3 linked regions of the Coturnix japonica genome follow. The protein of the gene in region 2 purifies or fractionates together with the protein of the main gene of each other region. This does not show direct contact. Links are inferred from orthologs where the notes say so. Each region holds a gene or a part of one and is shown on either strand. Other genes may lie near its edges.

Region 1 (3,750 bases), on a different chromosome or scaffold from region 2:
TACCTCTGGAATTATGGACCCAATGCTCCCTTCATACGGCCAAGCCAAAATGGAGTGAGCTCCAGCTTGAGTCATGAGACCTCTGAGAGCTGCCCCCTCCCTGTCAGCCAGTACCAAGCCAGCATATATCCCAATGCCTGGCCCAGGAAGAGATCACCACTCACTCTCAGCAGCGAGGTCCCGACTGACGAAGGCAGCATCCACATCCTCCAGAAGGATGATGCTCTGCTGTGGTGCCACACTCATAAGGTAATTGAGTCGGTCATCAGAGAGGCTGCGGTCACTGAGGCTCAGCAGGCAGATACTGTGTTGCAGCTCCCCTGCCAGCGCTGTACTGGGAAGGACACAAAACACAGCTGTGAATCACAGGAAGAAAGCCTGGAGCAGAGGAAGGCAGCGGAAGCTGAAGAACGGGCTCTCCCTGTCCAGTAGCAGAAGAGAGCACATTTTCCCCAGTGGGGATCAGGCAAGGACAGTGGATGTGAGCCCTAGTGTCAGGCCAGCTTGTACACAGTGCTGTCACTCTGATCTACAATGGTGACACAGCCCACTCCTTCACTGCTGGATTTCAAACCCAAGCCCACCTACATCTTCTCATCAGACACTGCTGCACATCAGAGCAGGCAGCTGGCAGGAAAACTGCTGTCACACAGCTAGCAATACTCACATGAAGCTGCTTTTTCCACAGCCAGGAGGACCGTATAGCAGGTAGCCTCTTCTGTATGGGATCCCTAGGAAGACAGTGTCCTTTTAGGAACCAGCTGTGCTACTCTGAGACCTCTCCCTCAGAGCCGAGAGAGAGGCTGATGAACAGAAGGCTGGAAACTGCTACGAGACAGGGCTGCAGCAGGCACAGCAGCAGGGTGCTGAGAAGCTGCGGGGATGGATATAAGCAGCAGCCTCTGCTTGGCCCCTGATTATGCTTGTCCCTTCCTTTCTCCCCTGTGCTTGGCTATGTTAAGGGCTCTTTGTTAAGAGCTGAAAACGAGTGGGTACATCATGGTCACAGTTGGGGTGAGAGCACTGCGCTGTGTCCAGGCTGAAGAACTCAGACACACGAGGGGTTTCGCATAGCACAGCTGTGCTATCTGTGGACAGGGGTAAGGTGATGCATTGGACACAGCACAGAGGACACCGTGCTGGAGCCTTGCCTCTCTCGATGTACCACTGGGGGTTGTCGATGAACTCCTTCACATCCTTAACCAGCCTCTCTGACACACCCGTCTCCAGCACCACCGAGCTGAGAGGCCGGCGGCGGCGCGGGAACCCAAACTGCCTCCACTCCGTTCCAATGGCTGTGTACATGATTGTCCTCCCCTCCTGCTGCTGCAGAGCCAACTCCCGGGCTGCAGAAAGAGGCAGAGGGAATGGCTGGCAGGGAAAAGGCTCTCTTATGACATCCCAGGTGCCACCAGGAAGGGGGCTGTTCCCAGTAGGGCCATATACAGCTGCCTACAGACCTTCCTGGAGGATGTTGAAGAAGATCTCCCGGTTGGTGCCCAGTGCTGTGAAGGTGACAGACTCCCAGGCGGTTCCTGTGTTCAGGTCAACCATCTGCCTCTCCCGGTTGCGCTCAATGCGAATCCACTTGTTCTGATACCTGGAACAAGAGAACAGAGTGAGGGATGGAACCCACCTCCAGCCACAAGCCACATCACCAAGTGTGAGTGTCAGCCTCTGCCTTTCTCCTCTCAGTCAGATCAGCCAGCGATGGTGCTGCTCTCTGTGCCCAAAGCAGGTACGGTGGGGACCTGGGCTCAGTAAGGGGAACTCATGGCCCTTGTGTGCAGTCAAACTCCCTAAACTACTCCCAATCTCCTCTCCTAATTCAGACACAAGAAAGAGGTAGAATTCTCTCCTCTGCCTCTAGGAGCCCTCCAAACTGGACTTTCCTTGCCAAAATGAGGGTGAATCCACAGATTGCTTCTCCCTCTCCCTGTGGTTTTCCTTACCAGATGAAATGGTTTCCAGGGCTGGGCACGAAGTCAAACTTGGTGCTGACGCGCCCGCTCTCATGCTGCAGGTACGAGGTCTCAACACTCAGGTGCTGCGTACGCTTGGCATGATGCGAGATCCAGTTCAGCAGCCACTGGTAGCTCTTATCCTTACTAGGCACCTCCAACGTTATCATATAGTGACGCCTGAAAGCCACCAACCCAACCTGAGCCCCTTTCCGAGCCAGCGCCATGGCCGTGCCCACTCCAACAAGGCCAAACCCAGCCCCAAAGTAGGGGTTGTCCTTCAGCGCCGCGATAAAGTCAGAAAACGGCATAATGGGACGTTAACGGGATTCTTCCCACAGCATCTCCACAGTCCATCAGCCAACCTGTGTGGGCAGAGAGTGCAGGTGGGCTGAGTGATGAAGCAATGTACTATACAGCCCCTACCCGTGTCCCAGAGGGCCCTACCCCACAGCACAGCACCCTCACCCCGAGACAGGCCGAGACAGACCAGGCCAAGACCAGGCCCAGGCCAGGCCCGGCCCGTTGCCCCTCACCTCCACGCCGCTCTCCCCGCCGCCGTGCCGCTCTCTATGGTTACTTCCTCTTCCGGCGGCTCCCGGCCACTCACCCGCTGGAGGACCGGAAGTGGCGGTAGGGAGGCGCTCTGTGCGGCCGGATACCATCGAGATGCGCTGGGCCGGGTCTGCAGGTGGGACTGGGGTCAATGGAGGGGCCGTACTGGGGGCACTGGGTCGGGGCTAGGCCTGAGTGCATTGCGTTGCTCCTGGGCTGGGGATGAGGTGTTCTGCCCGGCTGCAGGCCCTGCGTGAGGCCCCTGGCTCAGGTGGTGCTGAGGCCCTTGGTTCACCCTCTGAAATCCCTCATCATTCCATCTCGTTCTTCTCTTCCAGAGCCAGGGAACCCCCCCCTGCCCCGCACCCGGCTCTGAGTGAGGGGCAGTGAGTGCAGGAGGCGAGGAGATGGAGGCCCTGTGTTCTGAGCTGCTCCTGCCCTCCCCGGGTGCAGTGGGAGTAGCAGGAGCAATGGGAAGCCCTACTGCCACTGCTGGGGCTGCCCCGCTGCCCGTGAGGCAGGAGCTGGTGCTGGCAGAGGCGTCGTTGCCTGGGGAAGGGGCTGCGTCCGAAGGAAGCAACGTAGAGATCTTCATCGAGGCTGTAGCTGGCAACGTGACTCTGAGCAACGCAGCCAGCGGCACCGGTACAGGGTGTGGGGAGGAGGGCACAGAGCATTCGGTGCTGAGCAGTGGGATGGGGGGGTCAGCTGGGCACTGTGCCTTCTGGTCAGCATCATGGGGATGTCACACTGACCCTGTGTGCATCGTGAACAGATGCTGCTGCTCAGTGTGAGTCTGGCACAACGTGGGGAGGACTGGCCCAGGAAACCAGGCTTTGGGGTTGCTCTGAGCCTTTGGAGGATGCAGGTGGAGATCTCCGTCCTCCTGCATCACCCAGCTCACTGTCCACCGTGGGGCGTCCTGCTAGAGAGAAGGCCAAGCAGCATTACTCTGCCTCAGAGGTGCTAAGGGACAGACCCACTCAGAGTGGTCACCTGCATGATGACTCTCCTTCTGCAGTGGGACTATGTGGCATGGGATTCCCAGGGCAGAGGGAGGACTGTTGTTTTCAAAGCTGTAATTCATGCAAGATAATTTTTGTTCTTGTCCAGAGCTGGAACTGAACCACTGGTCCCAAGCTCTGGGCTTGGTGAAAGCCCTTTCTCATGATCATCCTTGCTCTGTGCAGAGGTTCTGGTCAAGGTGGTGGAGTTGTATTTCTGCGAGAGGTGT
Region 2 (3,650 bases):
GTAAAATATTCACTGGATATCACAATGTTTTCCCTAAACTCAATTTATTAAGGAGACATGCTAAGCTTATGAAACTTGCTAATTGTTGCAAGCAAAGCAAAGGAGTATTTCTGTATGAACTCCACTTTCACTAAACCCAGTGACAATCTTGTTGACTGTAGCCAAAAAGAAAAAAAAGAAGCTCTTTGCTTGAAAAATGCGAATGTATTTCACTATGAGAACAATATGACAATTATGATCCATTTAATGATCCATTTACAGCTATCATCATTGAAAACGATAATGCTTTGGTAGACTGGTTATAAAACGACATTTTCTGCAAGGTCTGAGAAATGATTAGCCTGAAGAGTTTTGAGCCTAATTACCTAGACACTGCATGAGACATAAAATACAGTGATAGCTTTTTCTTCATCTGTGGGTATGCCTTCTGGATAAAAAATATTAGAGATCGATAGTGTGTGTGTGCATAAATATGTATACAATGTAACAAACATACATAAAATTTGAATTTTTAAAATCTTTATATAGGATAGAAAATCCACAAGATTGTAAGGCAAAGAAGAATAAAACTATGAAATCCTGAGTATAAATGTAAACCTTCTAAGTGTCTGCTGTAGATAAACAACAACAACAAAAAACTTAGTGCCATATGCAATTAAGATTACCAATTCATAAATAAGGAAATAGAATACACAAATTCACATGAAAAGACACATTGTAATTCATTTCCTTGTAACAATAGCATAATTTTTACCTGTTTGATTACTTTCTGGATCTTCTTCATCTATTCTGTTCTCCAGATCAGTTGATTCTAATGAAGCAAAGAGAATTGACATTGATTATTAGGGTTACAAACACTGATTGACTATCATGCTGACAATAATGGTATAGCAGATTTTTCTGTGTCAGAGCATCATTATGCCAGCTTGACATAACTGTTCATTATGACGGGCTCTGAAAATTAATGGAGAAAAAAGAAAGATTTAAAAACTTCTCTCCACCCAATCTTGGCACAGTTTTAGAGTTATCAGCAGGGGTTTTCCATGCCTACAAAAGAGAAATCAGTGTGATAAATTAGCATCTCATTCATTGTATTTACAATTTTGGAGCCCAATTCCACAACACTTCATCAGTGAAGGCACAGTTAATCACAAGAACTGCAGCGAGACCATTTGTGTTTGGTCTGCTGAATAAGCTTTAGCTCACACAGGCTAAAATTTCTGCGCACCATTTGGTTTGTATATCTGAAAGGAGGAAATATACAAACACCAATTGTAGTCTTACTGTTTGGGGTTGAATTTTTGTTCCTCCTTTCCTGTTGGACAGTTTACCTGGCTATCATTATTGTTATTATTTCTGTTATGATGTTTCAAATAGAAGCTCCATTTGTCTTTATTTCTTGAGATTTCAGTTTGCATATCTGAAATGAGGAGGTAGGAAATAAGTTACTTTCCTCTCTCATTTCAGTCAGATCAGCGCCATCACTGTGGTCCCAGCATCTTGCTTGGCACTGAAGATACTGCAGGAGGATCAGGCAGTGTGCACTGACTCTCTTTCCTGGTAACGTTTACTTGTGCTGCAGGATGAATCGAGGAGATGGACTGCACAATGAAGAGACTGTTTCAGTCTTATTCAGCTATGAAATTACCATGTAGTTGGAGCCTGTCATGTTATCCTCAAATGGCTGTTAGCCACAAAGGGTGAGAACAGCCTCTATCATTGTTCTCCATTGTGCTGCCAACTCAAGTGGAGTAAGTTTACATTTCTGATGCTGAAGGTTCTCTGTTCTATTTTCTCTCTTAATCTCATACCTCAATCTCTATCATGAAGGACGGGATTTAGTTGCTTGTGTTTATCTGGAGGTTGCTGCTGCCAAATTACGTGCAGTATGCAATGCACATATGATTGGCTGTGACTGGAATAATTCCAGACTGGCCAGAAAAAAACGACTGAAACAGGGGCTCAAGATCAGCCTGGCTCGGAAGCAAAACAGACCACGATCCAGTACTACTCAGTGACACGTGTCTAGGGAACTGATAACTATGGTAAATGAGTAATTGCAAACTCTGCTGCAGGGCAGCAAAGGACAGGGCTGTGGCCACTGAACCATACTTGGGTATCCAATGTTGGTTTGATAAAATGCTTAAAAAATCCTAGGATAAGTGATCTAAAATGAGTGAAGAATTTTAAGCAATAATTAAGGTAGGGAAGAGCATTATGAAAAGCAGAAAAATACAAAGAGTACAGCAATAAAAAATATAAGGAGAGATGTGAGGATGTGAATGTGCTGTGACCTGTCAGGGGGATGCCAGCTGTGATCCAGAAGACTGCATCACTGCAGTACTGAGGCCAGCCTACCAATTAGAGTATGGACCAGATCAGGGCGTTTTCAGTGCTAAGCTTCCAATATCATCAATAATTATGTATCCTTTTCACAAAGAAAAAAAAAAACCCAAAACTAAAATCCCATAATATCAGCTATCTAAATAAATCTAAGTAAATATAGGTACTGGATGAGATCTCTATACAACCATGCTATGCATACTTACTTTGGCAGTCCTCTTGAGATATGTGATTGTCAATATTAATATCATCCACAGCAATTCCTCCATTTCCTTTTCCAATTTCTCCCTCTATAACCACCTGGAAAAATAAGATAATTTTCACACTGTTTTCAAGTTAACACACAATTGAAGAGTTCAGGAAGTCTTAATTAGCCGTTAACACACTTCTCCAGTTGTCACGATGCCACATTACGCACACTTTGATTGTGGCCTGTCAATCAGCGCTATATGCCTTTACGAACTTATATGCACAAATGTGAATTCATATAATGTCTAAACTTCACAGAAACATTTTACATCAGTAGCAAAAGTATGGCAAGGATGCAGTTTTTTGACAACTGAGAAGTGATTTCTAATGCATTTATTTGGCCTTCTATAACAAATTGCTTGTATCACTGTCATCTGCGATAGTATGAAATATGCCACTATTATTACTGTCACAGCAACAGCAACTCATCTGTAGGTATAACACTGTTTACACAAATCCTCCAGTGACATTTTCTGCTAAGGCATGTAAGGCATGACCAGCAAGGCTCACCTGGTAGTGTTTCACAGACTTGTGCAGAAGAACACGGCCCTCCTTCCAACAGTCTGCCTGGTGCCCGTTCAGGGTCAGCAGCACCTGGTCATATTCATCTGGCTTCTGGTACCTCAGCTTGATCTTCAGAGTGCCAACATGTGGGCCAGACATGTGGTACCAGAAAGTCATGCAGTGTGCTGAGTTCTGTGAGTAAATGACGGGGCTCAACAGCCGGGCAACTTTGCCTTTCTGGCTTTCGTCAGCTTGAGAGTAGATGAAGTTGCCATCTCCTGCTGTGACAAAAGGACTGCATTAGGAATAGTGACCAGATGTTGTTTTCTTTGTTCAGCTAAGAAATCTCAGCTCTGCCAGTCGTGGTCTCTTTGCATTCTGCCCCAAGTCGCACAACTGAGAGTGAAGTGTGCCCCAGAGAGAGTGTATTTCTGCTGCTCACCAAGATGCCCTGTGACAAGTGTGTGCCACATAACACTCAGAATTTGTTTCCCTTTGCTTAGGAATGGAGGCAAGGGCATGTCTGCAGTGATGAGCACTTAGTCAGTCAGCGT
Region 3 (3,750 bases), on a different chromosome or scaffold from region 2:
GCGTTCATAGACCTGTACAATGGCAGAAATATCTAGATTTGTTAAGTGGCACTTAAGATAACTAGTACTTGATAAGTTTCCCTGTCAGTAGTCAGGATATAAGTAAATACAGGCAAGAGAAAATTTACCTGTACCCCCCACCTCTGTTTCCAGTCTCTTATAATAAAATGAAAAGCTTTATCTATTAAAAATGTTGTGACCCTCATGATGCTACAGAACACTGATATAAAATGTGAATAGTACAATATCCATTATATAATATATATATTTATATTTTAATATATTACATTTATTTCTACATAAGTAGGCTATAAATACTGTATATGCCTTATATCCATGGTTCCCAGCATCTGACTTTATAGTAAGTACAAACAAACAAAATAACCCAACAATATAAAAATACAAAAAAGAACTCAGTAGAAATAGCTTTACATTTTAAAACCTTGCAGTTTGCATTGTGTTTATCAATAGTGTTCTGGGACTACAAGAGCACAGTAAGAAGTTGTCCATCAACTACAGTCTCACCACTTGGAGAAGATTGGAGCTGCCATGAAATCAGTCACAGATTCCCACGACTACATAAATCACAATCTCTGCTGGTGCAAACAAACTTTGAGTTTGTCAGTGACAGATGTGGCTTACACCTGGGGAAGAAGGATGAGAAGAGAAGGCAGAGTGGCTTTCGGATAACCCATCAAGACCAAAGGGCTGTCTATGCTCCCAAAGTAAATGAACCCTCCCTCTCTATCTCTGCCCCAGTGGCAGCTCAGAGGAGAATTTTCCACAGCACTCCTGACTAGCTCACAGGTGATCAGGACCTTGGCAAGGACTAAGGGGGCTGGGGAGGGTGTGTGCAGAGACATCACCATGGCAAACATGCCCCATGCACCCATGTTCCATCATCACACCGTTTCTCCTAATGAATCTCACCAAGTACATCTTCCCCAAGGAAATGGAGATCACAGGGTTTAGTACAGCAACATTTTTCTCCACAAAGGACAGAGATCACCTCTCCCACCTATATTTAGCCCAGCCTATGTTTAGCCTTAGGCTATTGGTGAGTGCCAGAGCCTTGAGCTGGAGGTTCCTTTTATAGTTTGTGGAGGTGCAGGCATGGGATAACTCTGAGAAACAAGAAGCCAGCGCTGTGCCGTTTCCTTCCTGGAGTCCAGCCGGGAAAAACAAAAGAGCAGGCCTGTGTCATTATTTCGTACAATTAGCAACAGTTGAGCTGAACGCCATGCCACTGTCCGTGTTGGGCTCGGCCTGCCACCGAGGTCCTAAAGGCCATTACACTGCTTCTGTCATAGAGTTGGCACTGCATTCACACACCACAGCCATGACTTCCCATCCTCAGCCACAAGAGTCTTTGGAGGAATGCACCTCACAGCCTGGCACTGCCTTGGGGCTGCAAGATGCTTCTGTATCCTCTTCTTGAAAAAATAAACGTCTTTCCCTAGGCCCACAGCCGCAGTCTCTGCACACACCAAATGTGAATACCACCAGCCAAGGCAAGGAAGGCACATCCCAGGGGACCTGGAGCCACTGGTTTCGGCTTAGAGTGGCAGGGACGCAAGAGGCGCAGGGCTGTCATATGCCAGGCCATGCGCACGGGGCAGCGTGGGGGAGGCCTCCTGGGCACACAAGAGTTCTGTGTCTTCACTGGAGCAGACCATGTTGTCCATGTCGTCTGAGTGGTACCCTGACTGGTAGCCACTTGTCTGGTTGGATGCCTCGGACATGACAGACTCATTGCTTTTGCTGGGCGCCAGTGTGCTGCAAAAATAACAGATAGGTCAAGTCAGAGAGAAGCAGATTTGTCTTCTGGAAGACAAAGTGGGTGACTCCTGTGGGTAACTGCTTCACATCACAGCGACAACAAAAGCAAAACAGTGAATTCAACAAAACTGGCTTTGAGCCCTTTTAAATGTGTGTTTGATTACAAGGAGAAATCTTTTTATATGCCCTAACTAACCCTAATGAATGAAAAATATTTAATTTTATGATAGTAGGGAGTTAGATTGCAACTGTAGATGAAATGGAGATAAAACCTGGGTATGTTTTGTTCAGTACAGCCACAGTGCAATCATGACTGCTATACACCTTTGTTTGTATGAAATAATTCCTCTGAGAAGCTCTCAGAAAGCATAAGTCAGATGAATGCCACTGTATTTCCTGTGAACTGCACAATTGAATCCCTGTACAATGCTCTGAAAATACACCCAGGTACATCCTGAAAACTCAAGAGCTAGTTTCAGAAGAAAGAAAGAAAGAATAACAAAAAAGAGCTCTTTGTCATCCCAGTTGTGTTACTGGCTCAGTTCCTTCAAGGGGTGGTTGATGCTTTTGCAGCTGGTAAATACAAGTCCCTTCTATGTTGTGCTACCTTCCCTCTCTTGGTACAAAATGCAGATGGCCAGATACACAATGAAAAACTTTTCTTTGTGTGGTTTTAAGAATTCAGTAAGAAAAGTTTTTGTATTTTAACAAAATCTACAAACCTATCAGTGCTCTGAATCACTACAAGAAAAAATCCATATTCAATCCTATTTGCAGCCTGAGCCTTACCTGAAGGGTATTTTGACTTGTTTATCTTGCTCTTCCAGAGTCTTTAGCTCTTCAGATGCAAGAACCATCCCACTGTCTGTCTGGTTTTCCTATAAAAGTGGTTAAAATGCATTAAATGGAAAGGGGATTAAAAATAAGAAAAAAAAATAACACACATCAATAAAAGGAGAAGACATTGAAAGAACAGTCTCACCTCCTGAACAACTTTTACAGTGGTCACCAATGGGATATCTTCAAACGTTTTCACACTCACGGGTCGGCTTTTTCTTTTGCTACCTTGTCGGTACTGACTGAAAAGAAAACAAAAACAATCGCTTTGCATCCACTATCCACAACTGGGCTGAAAACAGCACAGTGATATCAGTATCCTTTTATCTCTCTACAGAGAAATTAATCCTTCTGTCAAAACATATTATGCAAACCTCAAAATATCCATTTATTGAAAAGGACAAACTGCCTAACAAGTGGCAAGTTTCTGACCTCCTGCTCCTGACAGCCTTGATCTCTGAGCAAATTCTAAGAAACAGCTTTGAAAAAACAGCTCCTTTCCTCAGTTACACTGGAGGGCTTCACTTCCTGCAAGCTTTGCTCAGAAGTATAATAAACAGAGGAGCCTGGAACACAGACATGTGTCTCTTTCTTTGGGTTGAACTTCTGGGACCCCTGCCTGGACCCAGGACAACAACAGCAGACTCAGCAGACTGACGCCCTTAAACCATGGGGATCGGCACAGGCAGGGCTGCATCTCTCCTGAAGGCTCTCCTCCAAAAGAAGCCCTTTGGTCAGGATGACATCCATAAAAAATATTAGACCAAAAAATAACAAATAGAAAAACTGGAGTTTCATGGAGGTACTAATAAAGCAAACACAACAGCCTTCTCTCTAAGTGGATCTGGGATAAAATGGATGTTGTCTCAGTTAAATAGCTCCAATTTATGTTCCTGACAGCCAATGGAGAAAAACACACTCTGGGCACTATGGAGTTAGAAGAGAAACCTGCACATACTTGTGCAAAGCTGAAGGCAATACAAGGCATCACTCATCCCATTTCCCAGCTTTGAGTTTAGATATGCCAAGTCCTGCCAGTCTCCTGTTGATTTTAATTAGCCCCAAATATTCTTTAAAATTCTCTGTTTTCCCTATGCTTGCCTCTCCTCCTCCAGCTTTGATTCAAAGACTGCT

The links.
Region 1: the proteins of NRP1 (region 2) and mitochondrial chaperone BCS1 purify together in Homo sapiens (affinity purification with mass spectrometry; 3 studies listed by BioGRID and IntAct, counting the BioPlex papers as one, with this or other methods). This does not show direct contact. The link is inferred for Coturnix japonica from reciprocal best matches to the Homo sapiens genes NRP1 and BCS1L.
Region 3: the proteins of NRP1 (region 2) and KDR purify together in Homo sapiens (affinity purification with western blotting; 7 studies listed by BioGRID and IntAct, with this or other methods). This does not show direct contact. The link is inferred for Coturnix japonica from reciprocal best matches to the Homo sapiens genes NRP1 and KDR.

What each region holds. Positions count from the first base shown.
Region 1 is NC_029522.1:24,268,782-24,272,531, reverse strand, and holds the start of mitochondrial chaperone BCS1, read right to left. Parts: upstream 2,608-3,750; 5' UTR 2,498-2,607; intron 2,454-2,497; exon of another isoform or gene 2,430-2,453; intron 2,327-2,429; 5' UTR 2,273-2,326; coding exon 1,953-2,272; intron 1,601-1,952; coding exon 1,461-1,600; intron 1,347-1,460; coding exon 1,152-1,346; intron 732-1,151; coding exon 668-731; intron 335-667; coding exon 165-334; intron 1-164. Other genes in the region: ZNF142 (zinc finger protein 142), read left to right, coding at 2,924-3,161, 3,707-3,750. UniProt on the Homo sapiens protein: Chaperone necessary for the incorporation of Rieske iron-sulfur protein UQCRFS1 into the mitochondrial respiratory chain complex III.
Region 2 is NC_029517.1:12,662,073-12,665,722, reverse strand, and holds part of NRP1 (neuropilin-1), read right to left. Parts: intron 3,378-3,650; coding exon 3,103-3,377; intron 2,644-3,102; coding exon 2,550-2,643; intron 812-2,549; coding exon 755-811; intron 1-754. UniProt on the Homo sapiens protein: Cell-surface receptor involved in the development of the cardiovascular system, in angiogenesis, in the formation of certain neuronal circuits and in organogenesis outside the nervous system. Mediates the chemorepulsant activity of semaphorins.
Region 3 is NC_029519.1:58,827,847-58,831,596, reverse strand, and holds the end of KDR (vascular endothelial growth factor receptor 2), read right to left. Parts: intron 2,859-3,750; coding exon 2,762-2,858; intron 2,658-2,761; coding exon 2,569-2,657; intron 1,777-2,568; coding exon 1,557-1,776; 3' UTR 246-1,556; downstream 1-245. UniProt on the Homo sapiens protein: Tyrosine-protein kinase that acts as a cell-surface receptor for VEGFA, VEGFC and VEGFD. Plays an essential role in the regulation of angiogenesis, vascular development, vascular permeability, and embryonic hematopoiesis.